Nothobranchius furzeri: one gene and its partners. The protein of the gene in region 4 interacts with the protein of the main gene of each other region in a pairwise test. Links are inferred from orthologs where the notes say so. Each region holds a gene or a part of one and is shown on either strand. Other genes may lie near its edges. The genes, in order: alas1, fibronectin type III and SPRY domain-containing protein 2, hsf2bp, cdc73 and tfcp2.

Evidence for each region.
Region 1: the proteins of cdc73 (region 4) and alas1 interact in a two-hybrid assay, tested with the Homo sapiens proteins (3 studies listed by BioGRID and IntAct). The two-hybrid records come from large-scale screens. The link is inferred for Nothobranchius furzeri from reciprocal best matches to the Homo sapiens genes CDC73 and ALAS1.
Region 2: the proteins of cdc73 (region 4) and fibronectin type III and SPRY domain-containing protein 2 interact in binary tests that used the Homo sapiens proteins (3 or more experiments, as listed by UniProt). The two-hybrid records come from large-scale screens. The link is inferred for Nothobranchius furzeri from reciprocal best matches to the Homo sapiens genes CDC73 and FSD2.
Region 3: the proteins of cdc73 (region 4) and hsf2bp interact in binary tests that used the Homo sapiens proteins (3 or more experiments, as listed by UniProt). The link is inferred for Nothobranchius furzeri from reciprocal best matches to the Homo sapiens genes CDC73 and HSF2BP.
Region 5: the proteins of cdc73 (region 4) and tfcp2 interact in binary tests that used the Homo sapiens proteins (3 or more experiments, as listed by UniProt). The two-hybrid records come from large-scale screens. The link is inferred for Nothobranchius furzeri from reciprocal best matches to the Homo sapiens genes CDC73 and TFCP2.

What each region holds. Positions count from the first base shown.
Region 1 is NC_091743.1:62,457,661-62,461,828, forward strand, and holds the start of alas1 (5-aminolevulinate synthase, non-specific, mitochondrial), read left to right. Parts: upstream 1-1,356; 5' UTR 1,357-1,500; intron 1,501-2,312; 5' UTR 2,313-2,341; coding exon 2,342-2,546; intron 2,547-2,815; coding exon 2,816-2,998; intron 2,999-3,071; coding exon 3,072-3,212; intron 3,213-3,338; coding exon 3,339-3,558; intron 3,559-4,168.
Region 2 is NC_091749.1:41,535,967-41,539,599, reverse strand, and holds the end of fibronectin type III and SPRY domain-containing protein 2, read right to left. Parts: intron 870-3,633; coding exon 620-869; 3' UTR 517-619; downstream 1-516.
Region 3 is NC_091743.1:81,539,857-81,542,328, reverse strand, and holds the end of hsf2bp (heat shock factor 2-binding protein), read left to right. Parts: intron 1-1,192; coding exon 1,193-1,296; intron 1,297-1,490; coding exon 1,491-1,708; 3' UTR 1,709-1,966; downstream 1,967-2,472. UniProt on the Homo sapiens protein: Meiotic recombination factor component of recombination bridges involved in meiotic double-strand break repair.
Region 4 is NC_091751.1:69,208,848-69,212,366, forward strand, and holds part of cdc73 (parafibromin), read left to right. Parts: intron 1-2,659; coding exon 2,660-2,765; intron 2,766-3,196; coding exon 3,197-3,266; intron 3,267-3,519.
Region 5 is NC_091755.1:37,313,287-37,317,443, forward strand, and holds the start of tfcp2 (transcription factor CP2), read left to right. Parts: upstream 1-1,342; 5' UTR 1,343-1,569; intron 1,570-1,835; 5' UTR 1,836-1,901; coding exon 1,902-2,023; intron 2,024-2,881; coding exon 2,882-3,033; intron 3,034-3,490; coding exon 3,491-3,567; intron 3,568-3,653; coding exon 3,654-3,759; intron 3,760-3,912; coding exon 3,913-4,019; intron 4,020-4,157.

The DNA of each region.
Region 1 (4,168 bases), on a different chromosome or scaffold from region 4:
CAATTTCCTTAGCAGGAATCAGCCATTATGACTCGATCTAATTTCTGACTCAGAGAAACAATTTTTACAATTCATGTGTAACGGCTTAAGAAGAACTGGAGGGGGCAGCAGAGCACAGTAAATATTACCACACTTCAGGTGAGGCAAAAGTAAATTAAAATATATAATCAGCTAACGTTTATTTCTTTTTAAAACCGATTTTTTTAAAAAAGGTCACAAAAACCCAGGGTGGTGTTGTTACAATATTCTTATCCTTAATTTATTTATACCGCTATTTCTTGCTTGCCACGTGTGTGTGTGTGTGTGTGTGTGTGTGTGTGTGTGTGTGTGTGTGTGTGTGTGTGTGTGTGTGTGTGTGTGTGTGTGTTTGTCCTCACAAATGTGAAATTTATTCAATGAGTGCAAAGCACTGAAGTAAAGTTGGTGTGAGGTCACCATCAAATATAAATTGGTGGTCCTAGTCAAATAGCAGTGGCAACTATGATTTGCTTTACATGTAAATTTCATTTTAACCTCCAAAAAGTAGCTCTTTTACGATAGTGATTAACTTTCACCAGTGTTTCTAAATGGTTATATATCAGTTGTTGGACATGAAATCAATACTGGATAAGACAGACAAAATAATACTAAAATATTCAGATTCAGGTACTGTTTTTGATTAAAATACTACATGACTGTTATTATGAAAGCAAGCTGAATCATAAAACCACTTAAATTTAACAAGTTGTATTTTGCAACAAACTAAAACTATATAAACATAATTGTAATTGTATATCTCCATGTTATCTGACATCTTTGGAAACAAAACAAAAAAATCACTGTTTAAACAATGTTTTGATAATGATGGCCTGGTGATATGAACAGCCTTTTGGATAATTACGGTGAACATTATAACGTTTCTAGAGCCAAAAGACTGGTGATAATTGGGTACTGTGATAATTAAACTGTATTGCCTACTTAAAATTTTCAACAATAAGGAAAATACAGGGAAGGTTGCCTTGCTGGAGGGGCACGTTTAAAAACAAAAATAAAAATAAAAATAAAAAAATAATTCCAAACCATTGCTTCAAAACTTAGTGTGTGGTTATAACAATAGCTTAGTGGCAGTATTAATATATCATGAGGGTAGGATAAATGTATTTTTCAACTTTATTGAAAATTACTATATCTATATTTACTATTTATATCTATATTTGTTACTATTTACTACACTATCTATATTTTATATACGTTATCAATATACTACATCAATGGATTACAAGAAAATAATCTCGCGAGAATATGACGTAGGGGTCGGTGGGAGTGTGAGGTATTATAAACCCTGGAACGTCGCCGTCCTTTTCGTTCGTCCTCAGTGCAGGATAACGAAGCACTGACAATCTACTCTCTATAAGGAAAACAAGTACATTATTTTCAGGTCACATCTGTGGAACGACCTTGTTTTTATCTTGTTCATCACACGGCATAGCAGGATTATACGACCTGGTGTTAATTTTAAAGGTAGGTTTATTAATGTTCTAACCTCATAGGCGGCGGCTTTAGCATTTTAGCTAACATTGAGCGAGGTCAACCTTCAGAGAGCACAGGAAGATCTTTAAATATGATTCAACTTTATGCTTTCTAAAAGCATTACGTTCAAAAGTTATTATTATTTTGTTAACACCAGGTACTTTACATGGCAGTAATGTAACTATATTTAACACAAATTATATTTATTTCAGGTTGCGAACGGGTTTCTGAGTAAAACCACGAGATTTTACCAGCTTTCACTCTTAATGTAGTCTATAAATTGATATTTCTATCTATTTACAAACATTTTATTAGCCTTATAAACTTTATCTTTTGGATGAAACTGTACACAAGTTTTGGACTTTGTCCTGGAATGTGGAAATCTGACATCAACTGGGAAGGAGTCCCTGGGAGAGGAAGGGTTTTTAGGAATTGTGTAAAACTTTCCCCTTTGTTTTGTAAGTACACAGACACTTGTTAGAATGAGTAAAGAAAGAGGTGACTGGCAAGTGATTATTTTCCTAGGTGTGAAGGTGCAACACAGATCCTTTTTCATGGGTATTTTTAATTCTTGACATGGTCATTTAGAGTTTTAACATGAAAGGTTTCTGGTTTTTAAGACAAAACAAACCTTAATTTGACGTCAAAGGTTTATCAAAGACCTTGACAGTAGTGTGACTTATATTTTACAGAACAAGGCCCATGTATACGACTATTTCCAGAACTCCATTTTTAGATAGTGTGACCTATATTGGCTATTGAGCTAACTAATATTTAATATATTATTGTTTTATTTCTTCTAGCTCTTTTAACAAGCACACCACTTCTCATAATGGATGTGATCATACGCCGTTGCCCGTTCTTGGCTGGTATGCCTCAGGCCTTCTTCCAACAATCCAAAAAGTCTCTGGTCACTTATGCTCAACGCTGCCCCATCATGATGGAGCTGGCTTCGAAACCCATGGCCCCTTCAATGGCTCGAGCACTTTGCTCTTCAACTTCTTATCATCAGACTGACACCAAGGTTGCAACTGATGGTGAGTGTGATAAAGGACAAATGTTTAAATTCTCTATTTGAAAAACAAATGTACAGCTGTGTAGCATGCTGGTTTTTAACCCGCTGGAGGCAGGCGTTGCGGATTTGCAACAGTTAAAACCTACCTACCTGGTTACTTCACATACATATTTCATGAGCATTTTTTAGCTCAGAAGTACCCGTGAATGACTTAGTTGTTTGTCCTTTTATCAAAACTTATTTTGAGCCTGAGAGGGTTATCTGTACATGTACACATTTTTCCACCTGCAGCCCCTAAACAGGAAGTGGAGCCTAAGCTGCCTGCTGGTCATCCCGTGGCTCCTGCAGGTCAAGTGGTGGCCTCCAAATGTCCTTTCCTGACTGCTGAAATGAACCAGAAGTACAGCGGTGTGGTCCGCCAGGTTACCATGGAGTTCCAAGAGGATGTAGAGGAAGTACGCACTGTCCAGAAAGGTAACTTCTGGTATTTATTTATAACATTTTAGTTCAACAGGCTGTGTATTAACACTGTTCTTTTTATGTTCAGAGGTGTCACCTGCCCAGGTGAAGCAGCCATCCTTGACCAGTACCAGTAAAGCTGAGGAGCAAAGGAATTTGATGAAGACTCTCCTAAAGCAGCGTCCAAAGAGGGTCACCCACCTGCTGCAGGACAACTTGTTCGGCAGAAGTATGGTGTTTTTTTTTTTGTTTTTTTTTTTTGCAGGCCAAGTCTTGCGTATTATCCAGTTTCCTTATTGATCAACTTTCTGTTGCAACAAAGTTGAGCATGTTTCACCTTCCTGTCCTGTCACAGTGTCCCGCTTCGAGTATGATGATTTTTTTGAGAAGAAGATTGAAGAGAAGAAGAGCGACCACACATATCGTGTGTTTAAAACTGTGAACCGCTTGGCCACCGAATTCCCGATGGCTGATGACTTCACTGGCTCTCTGGAGGAGAAACGGGAGGTGTCTGTTTGGTGCAGCAACGACTACCTGGGCATGAGTCGACACCCTCGAGTTGCTCAATCCATCATGTAAGTAATAAAGTATTAGTTAGCATTGGGGATAGACCAATATATCATTCTACCAACACATCAGGGTTTAAAACATTTTTGTCAAATTGGCGAACCAAACCGAGCTCATGGAGCAGGGCACCACGCATCTCATTGTCTAATCATTTTTATTTTTGTGGCGCTGTTACGACCGACTTGATCAGCGTTCGGTGTTCTAGTGGTGCTTTTGAGACCAGAAACATTCAGGTGTCCCACGCTGATCAGTCAGCCTAGTCAAAACTAATAAATACACCTGAAAACAATTCTGACCTTCAGTTTACCACCGCCTTATTAGAGTAACACCTTTTAATGTTTTGAAGGTGTGACGTCTTTTCCTGTCATGTTCCCAAATATTACTGCACATTATACAGATTTGTTTATTTTATTAATATTGAGAGTCACAATTTCAAACTGTCGGTGCTCATTTGTGGTATTTTCCATGAATTGTTGTTATATGAGCATAGAGTTTATTTATTCGAGTAGGTGTAGTTAACATTTCCTTTACACAATTTGAAACGTTTTCAAAAGAGGAGGAATATGTGTAGAAATCGGCCAAAATCACCATCGCACATCGTCCATTGGCTAACCTCCA
Region 2 (3,633 bases), on a different chromosome or scaffold from region 4:
ACCTCGGTGTGCATTTATTTGCAAACAACTCATTTTGCAGTCGCTTTTCATTTGACAGTGTTGCAGGTGACGTTTTTAGAAAACTCAAATCATCTTCTTTTTTTTTCTAATTTGTCTTATGTTCATCATTGTTGAAGCTTCACTTTTTCTTTGTTTTTATCTGACCCTAAATTATGCCCAAATTCTCTTTAGACTAGGAGAGAAAAAGCTTTATAAGCACATCAGCGGACACTTTAATTATGGAAGTACAGGGTGGACTTTTCCCGTTTCAACATGTGAATTCAGATGTAAATTACCAAACTTTTTTCTTTTTCTTTTTCTATTCATCTTTTGTTACTTAAAAGGCCCTTTTTAAGTCCCATCCCATCTTGCTGCAACAGATGGTTTAAATACATATAAAATCCAGTTAAATCTTTTCTTATCTTGGAAAATGGTGTATGCCTGTTCCCATGGAATACTATAATAAAACGCCTAAAACTGTCTCTACTGATTCATTTGAGTTGGGAGTTTACCAAATGTGTTTAAACATTGTTTAATAACATTCATAATGGTCAACATCAGAAACATTCGTTTAGCGCGTTTATTTTTTCCCCCGTATGTTGGGAAGAGACGCTTTCTATTAGATGAGTGTGTACTCGGGAGCTTGGATGCCGTTGTGGACCGTGAGTGCTCCTGGGCTGTCCAGGCTAAAACAAGGGTGGACATAGTTTTGAAAGTGACAGTGGAAGGTGTGCAAATGTTGCCCCAGGTTTGCATTGAAGAATGATAGCGTTCCCCCGTCGTAGTCGAGAGCCACTCCGATGCGTGCTGGGTACACGGTGATCCTCAAGTCCGGACTCTGGCCGTTGTGTAGAAACTCATATTTATGCCTTCACAGAAAGAGCCACATTACTATGAGTTTGTTAGTATAAACAGTGTTTAAACAACTCATGGTTGGTTGCCAATAGGAAAGCAGATGCAGACTTATGTGCAAGCAAGATTGTAACTGGCTGCAGATGAAACAAAATGAACAAGACTTAAAATCTGTGAAGGAAGGATTAAAAAGATGCTCACAATAGAATTACATTTGGGGTTTGTGGGACACACTGCTTCAAGTTAAGTCTTAAAAACATCCAGCTTTGCTCCCAAAAATGGTTGCTATAGAAACACTTGGAAGTAACATTTAATGCAGGATATTTCTTTCCTTTAGTGGACTTAGTCTTGCAGAGAGCAGCCTTCTCTCTTTTTTTTGTGAATGATAAATGTTCTAAAATGGGTGTCAAACTCAAATTCACACGGGGCTGAAATGAAACTGGGACGGAGTCGAGGGCCAAACTTAATATTTTTTGAAAAAGTGACGGCAAATTTGCACATTTTCTTTATCAACATATATGCAATTGTGAACCTTTTAATTTAGAAACAAACTTATTTCTGCATTAACACTGAATGTGGAATAACCAAATTACAAACGAGCAAGTCAGTTTTAAATAAAATACATCAGTGGTATTCATTACTTGTGGTATAATCAGCATTTTAAAAATCTATTCAGGATTTATGTTTTCTTGTTTATTCATTTTTCTTGTGTTTTATTCTCCTTTTTTCTCCTGTAATAAGTTTCATCGCTGCTGTGACGTCTAGCTTTCCCCACTGAGGAACAATAAAGGGATTTTCACGGGCCAACAACAAAATAAAACTCATTTTATCTTAAATGAAAATGCAACATCTCACCTGTTAACTTTCATGTTTTGGAGCAGAAAAAGAGCATAAAACCAACATATTTAAAGCTCAGTTTGCTCCGCTGGTTTACTGTGATGCTCACCTGTTCCAGCCAGATACCTGCATCATGGGGTTGATCTGAGCTGAGGAGGAGACTCCTGTTTTTTTGTTCATCTTCATCATAATAATGACAACATTAGATGACAACAGGTGCTCACATAGGTTTGTGCTGCTGAACATGGAGAGCGTCTGAGCAGCTTTACCACGTTATGTGTCGGGGAGGAAAAATAAAAACTACAGCAGTTATATCAGCTCTGGAAGTTAGTTGGTAAACTTTCTCTTTCAGTCGTGAACACATTACTGAGTGGTTAAAATCTCTGTTTCTGGGCTTCAATGTTGGCAAATAGCTGAGTAAACTCGGCTCTGAGTGAGAGGAGTGTTTACTTTATCCGTGACAGCGGAGCTGCAGACGTTGGAAAAAACACAAAGGAGGGGGCGCTTCAGCTCCGTGCTAACGCCGCAAAACATCATGGGAGTTATAGTCTTTTAGGTAAAATTGGCCAGCGGGTCAATTTTAATATATTTTTGAAATTTATCTTGCGGGCCACATAAAAATGCGCCTTGTGTCTGACACGTGTCCTAAAAGCTAAAAATACAGTCTGCCTAGTTTCTCAGATCTGCACTAACTTGTTTTTCAGAGAACCAGCGTGTTCATTTTGGATTTTAGCTGGTCAAAATCCACGTGCTTTGTTGGAAATCAGATTTCTGTCACTAGCAAAGGATTCAATCATCTCAGTGGCAAACCAAACCTACCTAAAACATTTTTATTTATCTCAAATTTGAAGGTTGGAGATGAGCAGGAAGAGTGTCTTTTCCAGAATGACTCATAACCAGAGACTGTGCACCACATTCAGTGTTTAAAGCAGAGACCGACCGATGTGTTTTTTAAGGCCAATACCGATTTTTTTTAAAGAATTTTGTTGCAGATGGTCGACTATATATATGTATATATATATATATATATATATATATATATATATATGTGTGTGTGTGTGTGTGTATATATATATATATATATATATATATATATATATATATACACACACACACACACACACACATATATATATATATATATATATATATATATATGTGTGTGTGTGTGTGTGTGTGTATATATATATATATATATATATATATACACACACACACACACACACACATACATGTTTTAGCAGCACATTGATTGTGAAGAAGTTACCACTCACTGTGCAATTTAAATTACACAAGTCAATAAATCTCTTAATATTTATTGAACTTCAAATATAAAACACTTAAATGGTGTGTTGGGGTCCTTCGGGCAGTGGCGGATTTAGCAATTTGGGGGCCCAAGGCGAACACAGACATGGGGCCCTTTACACAAAATTTTTGACAATCTTACCTTTAACTAGATTTGCAAAACTCCCCTCTTCTGACATGAGTTATTTTCCCTTTTTATTAGTCCTCCTCTTTTTTCCTGTACTTCTCTCCCTTTGAGCGCTTTCAATATTTGCTCTGCTTTCTTCTTCCTGTCAGTGCTCCTGTGCTTTAGCCTTAGTTATTTTTTTTTTCTATTTTCCATTTTGGTCTGTGTTTTCCTCCCTTTAAACATTTTCCATTGTCTTTCCTTTTCTGCTTCCTGATGTTTACATCGAAAAACGACGCCACTTTCAGAAGAGAAAATAAAAGCTTTTATGAAGCAAGCTGCTGCTTTCTCTTATTGGAGCCACTAGGATAACTCAGTTTCATGCTTAATGTTTTGACTATTGCTTTGAATTTCTTACGAGCACTCCCGCCTCTCTTCTTATTATTTGTGGTCTTATGCCACTTGGCAAACAACAATTTGGTGCATTACCGCCACCAACTGGATTGGAGTTGAATGACTACCAATCACTTCCT
Region 3 (2,472 bases), on a different chromosome or scaffold from region 4:
GAAGAAAGGCTCAGCACAGATTAGTGAGGAGAAACCACCCCAGACCGTGACAACCGCAGCTTATTCTTCTTAACTGTGATTCTGTATTATTGATTTTTATGTGTTGGAATTGTCAGGATAATTGATCAGTTTGAATGGTTAAGTGGTAAAATTTCCTGGTTACAGTATTTATTCTCAGGTGTGAGGAGAGGGCAGTGAGCGGACTCAAGTGTTGTTCTCCAGAGGCCAAATCTGTTGTCAGACTGGGTTTTATATTCTGTTAATAAAATGGATTATATTTATATAGTGATTGAAATGTTGATGGGAAGGTTGTAGAAGATAAGCTCTCAATCATTTACAAAGAGGGTAAGTGGATATGATGAGGAAACCATGAATCTGTCTAGCTGGCTGCTAGCTAGAATACAGCAAATACAAAGTTGTCTCATGTTTTATCCTAATGTGGTCCTTGAAATGAAGTGTTCTTAATTCCATCCATCCATACATCCATCCATCCATCCATCCATCCATCCATACATACATAGGAAGTGTTCCATCACCCCCATATATATATATATATATATATATATATATATATATATATATATATATATATATATATATATATATATATATATATATATATATATATATATATATATGTATAGTTGGAAAACCATGTCAGGTGACTACATCTTGAAGCTCATTAAGAGAATGCCAAGAGTGTGCAAAGCAGTAATCAGAGCAAAGGGTGGCTATCTTGAAGAAAATAGAATAGAAAACATGTTTTCAGTAATTTCACCTTTTTTGGTTAAGTACATAACTCCACATGTGTTCAATTAATTTTGATGCCTTCAGTGAGAATCTACTGATGTAAATGGTCATGAAAATAAAGAAAACACATTGAATGAGAAGGTGTGTCCAAACCTTTGGGCTGTATTATATATTTATAATATATTTAGTTTAATTAGCTAAAGAGTCCTGGCAGATGCACCCTGTTTTCAGTTTAACATGATTTTAACGAGCTTCAAATGCATTTCAACAACACTTGTAAGTATTTCCTGACTATTAGAACCTATATCTTTAGTAACTTAACTATAATCTGTGACTCGTGTATATCGGCTTTAGTCCCTGGTGTTATTCTGAATAAACCATACTAATGCATGTAGCAGCCCCTCTACTGTTGGCACAGAGTAATATTGTGGCTTTGCTGCAGGTTGATGCTGATGATCTTGTATAATGTCAGCATCAGCATTAGAGGACTGAAGTACATCAGTGAGAACAAACGACTCGTTCAGCTTATCTGGACCCTGCTTGAAGGTGAGGAGCCGTTGTTACACACGTCCACGTGATGAAAACAAGATAAACAGTTAAATTTGATGTGTTTGAAAACAGGAAGTGTTCCATCAGTTTGATATTATTTAAATAAGCACCTGAACATATATTTATTGGTAAAGTCAGTAGGTTTGTATTAGATCTCTGCTTCAGACTAAATTAGGGTTTTTATCTGTCAGATGGACACTGGGAGGTGTGCCTCCACTGTCTGCGCCTCCTGCAGTCAGTGCTTCTAGAGGAGGACATGCTGCTCCCCCTGGGCTCTTTTCTGCTGGATCCAGAGCTCCAGGCTCGCGTCAGCCAGCTCACTTCCAGTGTTCAGCCCAGCCTTAGAGCCACAGCTCAGCAGACTCTTGAGGACCTGCAGGCCCTTCAGCTGGCACACCGCTCCCAATGAGCAGACTTGATCTAATTACTTCTGGTTCTGGACCTGGTGAGGTCAACAGAACCGGGTCCGGTCTTCTACCAGTTAGAGCCCCTTCATGTTAGGTTTCTGTGTTGCCATGGTGAAGAGAACATATCTCTCTACACATGTTCATATTTTGCAAAGACAACAAAAGAAGAGACTCGTGTCTTAGCTATTAAAGTGTTTTATTTTAATACGAATGTTGTGATACTGTTAGATTTTAAAATATTAAAGATGATGTTCACACTCTCATAGCTTCGTGTTGGAACTTTGTCGATTTTGTGTTTGTTCTGTGTTGCCAGCGTGGAAAGATATCGTCTGAAAAAACATTTAGGACAACAGCCAATCCTTGTGGACATCCAATTCAGACTGCCGTACTCAGAGAAATGAAAAAAAGAGCTCCATCTCAGGCCTGAGTTTCCAGGTTAAAGTTCATGGCAGGACAACTGGAAAGAGACTGAACAAGGATATTTGTTTGGATGGGTTGCAGGAGAAATCCTCTGGTTTCAAAAACTACTTGATAGCAGGAATTTGCTTCTGAATGACTTCAGGAGCAATGTCCTTTGGACACATTGGACCGAAGTGAAGATTTTACCAATATGTTGGTGGACACCAGTCAGAGCAAGTATCTCATCTCAGCTTCAAGCGAGGTGGTGGTGGGACCTTAAAGGAAATGAGCATAAAAGTAGTGTCTGGTGCATAACATAGTCAACAACGATGATTATTTATAAAAGTAAAAGTAACTGATCAATAGT
Region 4 (3,519 bases):
ATTCTGACATGCTTGCGTTTAAGACGCTGCATCATCACCGTAGTATCCCCGTGCCATGCTAAGTCTGACCTACAAACGTTGCATGTCTTCGCCTGATTTAACTGAAAATGCTCCCAAACTTTAGAAGTTTTTACTTTTTTGGGGTCTCGCTGCTTCTGCCATGTTCCTCTTGCAAACACCTGCCGGCTCTCCACCGGTCTGCGCGCAACGGCGGGCGGGAGGGGAGGGGGCTTTTGGAAGAGTTGCGCAACACAACGAATCGATGACGCAATTCGTTGCCAACGCTTTTGTTAATCGATTTTCATCGAATTTATCGATTCGTTGTTGCAGCCCTATTCTACACTTTGTTTTTACACACACAATGGCAAGGATTGTCAAAGTGTGTTTGTCGTGATCATGTCAATTTAAACTGATCACAAAACACTGATTTACTTTCTTCCTTTCGTTTTCCTCATCCAATTCCCATAAATCCCTGTGTGTCCTCCTACAGCATTCCCGAAGGACAACAGACATTAATAACACAAAAAAAAGTTGACATGTTTTTAAAAACTGCGATTTTTAGCATACCGTAAATCCTCTAATATTAGCCTGTATTTAATTAACTGCTGGGTATCACATTTTGGCCGGAGTCGGCGGAGGTGAATAATGGACGGTTTTTTATTGTGGCCAGGTGGAATGTGGTAACAAGCAAGTACGGGGGACGGTTGTGTCATCCGTCTCATTTTTGATTTGCCAGCGATAGACCGCGAGGGTAACTTTAACCGTGCGGAGACGAAGAGGAGGCGAAAATTTGATATCAAGTTCAAAGAGAACGTGCTGATTATGCTGCAGAACACTCTGGGGAGCAGTAGGGGTTGTATGAACTAGTCACTAGTCGACTTCACCGCTCTATAGTGACTTGTTATGCCTGTCATCGACTAGTCGCTGTCACGTGATAATGACCGGCAAGATGCAGTCCACGGAAAAGACAGCAGCCTGCTGTCAGCAGGTGACAAGCTCCTGCGCGTCTGGAGGCAACGCGCTGTGTCAGAGCGTCGGTACCGACACCCGCCGTAAAACAGACATTTAACCAAATTGTGACCTTTACCCTCTTGCAATTTAACATTCCCCTCACCCCCATCCTAACCTTAACCAGCTTGCGCATGCAAAGCTCTGATTGTTGACGCGCTCCAGACATCTGCGTCCTGAGCACAGCCACAGTAACATTATCAAATCAGGTGTCGCCACCTCAAAAACTAATTTAACACGCGATCGTTCATGTCGGCTCATTTCCTTTTATGTTTTCTGTCTTTTATTCTTTTATTTGTGCCTGATGCGTTTCGCTGCTGTGGATCGGGGCGCATCACCTGTTTTGTCCTCGGTGACCTAACTGATGTAGCCGGCGTGCACTCCGCTGTTTTTGCGGTCTGTAGATCTTTTAGAACTGCAGTTCAAAGGTAACTCATGAGGTGAATATATATGAACCCAGGTAGCAGTTTTTCTTTAGGATTGAGAGGAGATGCAGGAAGATAATAAACAGGCAGGACAGAAAAATAGTCAAATAAAAACAAGTTAGTTTTTGTACCTGGTGGTTGCAACAAACAGACACCATTGAAGGTAATCAGAAGTAAGGAACAGAAAATGAAATAATTATTTTAATGTTTAGAGCAGCAGGAACTCCGAGAGGCTGCAGGCGCATCAGTGAGTTTGCGGCCGCTGAGCAGGGGGAGGGGGGAGAGGGCTGAAGCCGAAACTACCGTTGTCAAAAGAAATGTGTTTAACTTTGAAAATGTGGGCGCAATTTTAATTGTCTAAAACTCCAGCGAACCATTAGCTCATTTTGCTCAAATAGAAATTGAGGCCTGCCTCTAATACTGGTCCTCCTTCCAATAAAGGCCTGGAGCTTGATGAGCTTGAGTCAAATACAGACCCGGGCCTGTATTAGAGGATTTACGGTATTTTAGGTTTGACCTGTTGCTACCAGATAGGGATGTAAGAAAATATCGATGTGGCAATATATCGTGATATTTTTTCTTCTGCCACAGTAAATAATTATAATAATAATTATTATTAATATAATATTTACTCTTCGCTTCTCCCAAGATCTCCCTCCCACCTGTGACTGTACAGTAGATGAGCGTCGTAGATGGCTGCTCTCGCTGAGGGAAACAGGATCCCCCCCCCCGCCTTCCTGTTGGAGTCTCATGTTGTGTTGTCTGAAATCTGTTCCATATTTGTTGAGGTGTTTTTTTGCAGAGCAAAGCTGCCCTCCTGGTGGGAGGGTAACTCTGAAGTGCCTTTTTTTCCCTCCACCTGAACCAATCCTCATGTAACCCTCTTATCTCTATTAAGGTAGCGCAACTCAGGGTTGCGAGTGACCACAGTCACCAATTCTTGTCATGTGTCTTGCCCATGTATGTCTGATCTCTGAATTGTGTGTACTGAAACTCTAATTTCCCCCTGGGATTAATAAAGTATTGATTGGTTAATTGATTGATTGATGACGTCACATGCATCGTCATTTTTTGGACTGACGATTGGCGGTGGGAAAATTGATACAAATCGCCCGACCCTAGTAGGAAGTCTGGCTCCGTAGTGAAGCCCTTGGGAATTGTTTGTAAATCAGGTGAAGTGAAAATGTCTGATTTGTTTTCCTTTTTCTTTGTGTTTCTGACACCAGAACCGGTAAAGAAGGCCAGCCCAAGGAGTACTATACTCTGGACTCTATTTTATTCTTACTCAACAATGTGCATCTTTCACATCCATCCTACGTGCGGAGAGCTGCAGTGAGTAGAATTCTCCTTCTTGGCTTAAATAAAACAAAATATGATGTTTTATTACACTCGGGGCGACGGTGGCACAGGAGCTAAGTGCTCGTCCTGTGATCGGAAGGTTGCAGGTTCGAGTCCCGCTTAGTCTGTTGCTGTCGTTGTGCCCTTGGGCAAGACACTTAACCCACGTTGCCTGCTGGTGGTGGTCGGAGGGACCGGTGGCGCCAGTGCTCGGCAGCCTCGCCTCTGTCAGTGCGCCCCAGGGCAGCTGTGGCTACATCGTAGCTCATCCCCACCAGTGTGTGAATGTGTGTGTGAATGGGTGAATGACTGATTGTGTTGTAAAGCGCCTTGGGGGGTTCCAGGACTCTAGAAGGCGCTATATCAAATACAGGCCAATTGTCTTGAGCACACCTCATATTTACATGAGTGCACATTGTTTACAGACGGAGAACATTCCTGTTGTCAGACGACCGGATCGAAAGGGCTTACTGTCATATCTCAATGGCGAGAGCTGTAAGTAGCACCTGGAAGATTTTTGTGTTTCTGCTTGAATGAGTTAGAATCTGTGTGAAAACAGCTTCATCAGCAACAACCTCAGTATGAAGAAACAGATTTGTTCTGATCAAACATATTGGTAAACATCTAGTCTAGATTAAATGTCTTAGAAGAAGTAGATTCTCAGCCATGTCACAGCTGTTCATGGAGACCATGTTTATAAGTCCCAACACAGACCAGGGCGCTGTGGGATCAAGTACAAGCCCCGTTT
Region 5 (4,157 bases), on a different chromosome or scaffold from region 4:
TAGCTCTACCTTGTGGAATAATAGAACCATTGTAATTAATAGGAAGACTATATTCAAAAAAGAATGGTATGACAAAAACATTTTACATGTGACAGATTTGATAGATAAAAATGGCAATTTGTTACAATTTGAATGTTTTGTCGAAAAATTTAATTTTAAAATTTAATAATCAAATCAGTAGAGCTGTTCCACTTCCTTTAAAATTCATGATTAAAAATACCTTGCTTAATTCGAATGTGGTGATTAAACTTCCTGAGTTGAAAATTGGCAAATTTAAATTAGGTGAACAAAAATGTAATAACAAAGTACTTGGAAGTATGTTAAAAATAAGTTATTCTATGATATTGAAAAATCAACAACAATAAAAATCACAGGAAAGGAAACTACATTAACAAAGCCATAGTGCAGCTATCTTAAATGGCCAATTGCACCCAAGTTGAAAGAAATTAAATTCAAAATAATACATAATATCTATCCTGCTGCCGAAACATTAAGAAAAAAGATTTAATTTTGAAGGGAATCAGTGTGTCTTTTGTATGACAGAATGTGAAACTATTGAGCACATTTTCTTCTCGTGTTCAGTAACAATTGGTTTTTGGGAGGATGTTTATCGATTATTAAATATTGAGAGAAATGATGTGTGGCTTAACAAATCTAAAGTGTTGATATACATGGATGCTCTTCCAAAAAAGATATCCAAAATGGTGAACATTATTTTCAACATGGGAAAATACCATATACATAAAACTGAATGGAAAAACAGCAAGTCTAACATTAACCATTTTAAAAATGAAATAAAACAATTTAAAACATCTCTAAAAGTATTATCAGAAAATAGCCAATCTATAACTGAGTTGTACGAAACAATGTCTGAGTTTCTTGTTGTTTAAATTACAGTCCAATGAATCAAACATGTTTGAAATATAATGTTGAAATATCAACCTCTGAACATTTTTTTGTTTGTTGATATGTTATTTTTATTTTAATTATTATTATCTTGCATCATAATTTATTTTATGGTATAGTGTCATGTGGTAATTGTTGCAAGTTCTAAATGAAATTTTTATTTTCCTCAAGTGAGGTCATTTGTATTTTCTATATTCTTCAGTACGTTGAATGTAGGTTACATTGTAAACTGAATGTATGTGAAATCGCAGATTGAAAATAAGGTAAAAAAAAAAATTAAATAAAAAAAAATTAATAATAAAACATACAAAAAAACCACTGGTAGGTGGCAGTAATGAGCACTTCCGGTTTAGATCGCGACGAAGAAGAGTGAAAACCGGAAATTACTGTTTCTCCCTTTCGACGAAGCTTAATAAACAAAACGAAGCAATATATAGCGAATATAAAGATCTGTCTTGGGCTTTGGGTCCATAGCTACGTTACGTAGAGAATAAATGGTTTGAATAAAACCCTGAAACTGTAGTAAAGTAAATACGGACTAGCATCCTCTGTACCCAAGCCGTTAGCTAGAGATGTTTATTTTAGTTCTTTCGGCCAAATAGCGCGCGACATGATGGCATGAAACCGCGGCGCTGTTACGACAGAAAAACTCATCTTCTAAAGGTAAGCTTGAATATCTAATCGGAGCACGTTAGTAACAAAAACGTTACTAAAAATCTGCATACATTTTTACACAAGTTCGCTGAATTTTAAGATGGGAGATAAAAAACGTGTTTATTGTAAAACCCATTTCCGACCGCTCTTAGTTAATCAACTTAACTAGTTTCTGTCTGAAATTTATTTTACTGAGTAAAACGAAACTTTTTTACGGTGTTGGTGTCGGGGTTCACTTGTGAGTAATCTTTCTTTCCCCCCACCTTGCCCTCGAGTCCTCTGAAGGTTGTGAGGAGCAGGTGAGCAGCGGTACTCGGTAAAACCTCCACAGCGTCACCGTCATGGCGTGGGCTCTGAAGCTGCCCCTCACGGATGAGGTGATCGAGTCCGGGCTGGCCCAAGACTTTGATGCCAGTCTCTCTGGTATCGGCCAGGAACTTGGTGCCGGAGCCTACAGTATGAGGTACACCCTGAGTTTGTTGTTTCTCCTTGTGGAGGGAATTAACGTGCGCTCTGCTAATCTGGATGCTCTAACTAAATTTTAGCCTATTAATTTATTGCCATTGTTGATATCAAGTGAATAATAAAAATCTTTCAGGTTAACGTGTAGGTTTTTGCATTCTTTCTGACATTTACTTGTTTGTGTAAGCTTTAGTCCATACGTTTAGGATTGAAATGGATTCTTCAGCTGTACGTTTGAATATCAGCCTTCTCTTACCCTGACTCTGACCTTTACTTTTGTGTTGAGCTCTTTTTCTTTGTGCCACTGGACAATATTTTTAGACGAGGGGCATCTTAAAACCTGGATCAGCTAAAATTGCTCACACATTATTAAATTGCTATGAATCACAGATGTGCACATACATCTACAGAACAAATGAATAGCTGTACGCGTTCACTGTTTGGTTCGATTACGATGGAACTGATTTATTCTAACTGCAGGATCTCTCAAAACATTAGCAAAGCTGATGATGTGGTGTATCTTATGTTTATGAGAGTGAATTAACTCCTTTTCTGGAGACAGATGTGTTTTTTGTGGTTTATTAAGAGCTATGAAACGTGTCTGGTCACTGGAGAAATTCCTGTGTTGAGGGGAGCTCTGACATGAGCACTGGAGACATTGGTATTTAGTTGTATTCCCTCCATTATAGTGAATGAGCAGCACAGTGTGTTGTGTTAGTGAAGGTCATCAAACAAGCAGAAAAAGGGGGATTTGGTTGTCTAAAGCTTTCTTGAATTTAAAGAGTTGAATGTTTCTCACTGAAGTGAAAAGATTTTAGCAGCTCACAGGCAGCACTTTTTTTACTGCTCTCTTCTCCAGCGACGTGCTCGCCCTCCCCATTTTCAAGCAGGAAGAATCCAACTTGCCTCCAGATTCTGAAAACAAGATCCTCCCTTTTCAGTATGTTCTGTGTGCACCTACCTCACCTGCTATTAAGCTACACGATGAAACCCTCACCTACCTCAACCAAGGTCAGTATCAGGATCCTCACCTTGCTACGTTTTTTTGACTTTGTGTAAAGTCAAGGTCCAAGAGAGGAGAGGTTCAGATCCTCACATGTCATTCTGTTTAGGATTGATCAGACAATTAAATCAACTTATTTCTTTTTTTTTCTTGCCTGAATGGATTTATGTAAAATTTTGTTTCCCTTTGATTTAAGTTAGTTTTAACAGTGAAACAATAAACTGAAAGTAATAGAAACTGGCTTTAATGTATATGAGCAAAGCAGTCAGTAAGTTAGAATAGAGCATCTGAATGTTTACCACATTATTCTTTTTACAGATTATGTTCTTTTATAAATAGCTATGTAGTTGTGCTTGATAACATAAAGATGCATGCCTTGCATGACTGAGGAGTGTGTCCGCGGTGTGTGACGGCCCTCTTGGAGGCGGGATCTTAATTTGAAGTTGTTTCTCTCTGCTAATGCAGGGCAGTCCTATGAAATAAGAATGCTTGACAATCAGAAAATTGGGGAACTTCCTGAAATCACTGGTAAAATGGTCAAGGTGGGAGTTATTTCAGTGTGTTTCTGTTGTTTAATGATTGCTGGACTAAATCATGTATATCACATATGTGTGTATACTCGTTTCAGAGTATTATCCGCGTGGTGTTTCACGATCGGCGGCTTCAGTACACGGAGCACCAGCAGCTGGAGGGCTGGCGCTGGAACAGGCCTGGAGACCGGATCCTTGACCTGGGTGAGCCCCGTGGAGAAAACGGCCGTTTTCATCTGGACTTTTAAAAGAATGATCTGCACGTTCACCATTGGCTGGTTTTATGATAAAAGCATGTTTATTAACAACATTGGTGATAAATTTGGTGCTCAAACAAGAACTTTTGGATCATTGCAGATATCCCCATGTCAGTGGGTATGATCGACCCCAGGGCCAACCCCACTCAGCTAAACACTGTGGAGTTCCTCTGGGATCCCTCAAAGAGAACCTCTGTTTTTATCCAGGTAGCATCAAAGTTGCAACTTTACTTTACTTTCTAACGCTTCCTTCTCTGGACTTCTGATTGATTTTAGTCTTTTAAAGGTAACTTAGTGAGTTTAACCAATTTAGTGCTGTTTTGGGAATAGTCTGGTCCAAGCTAC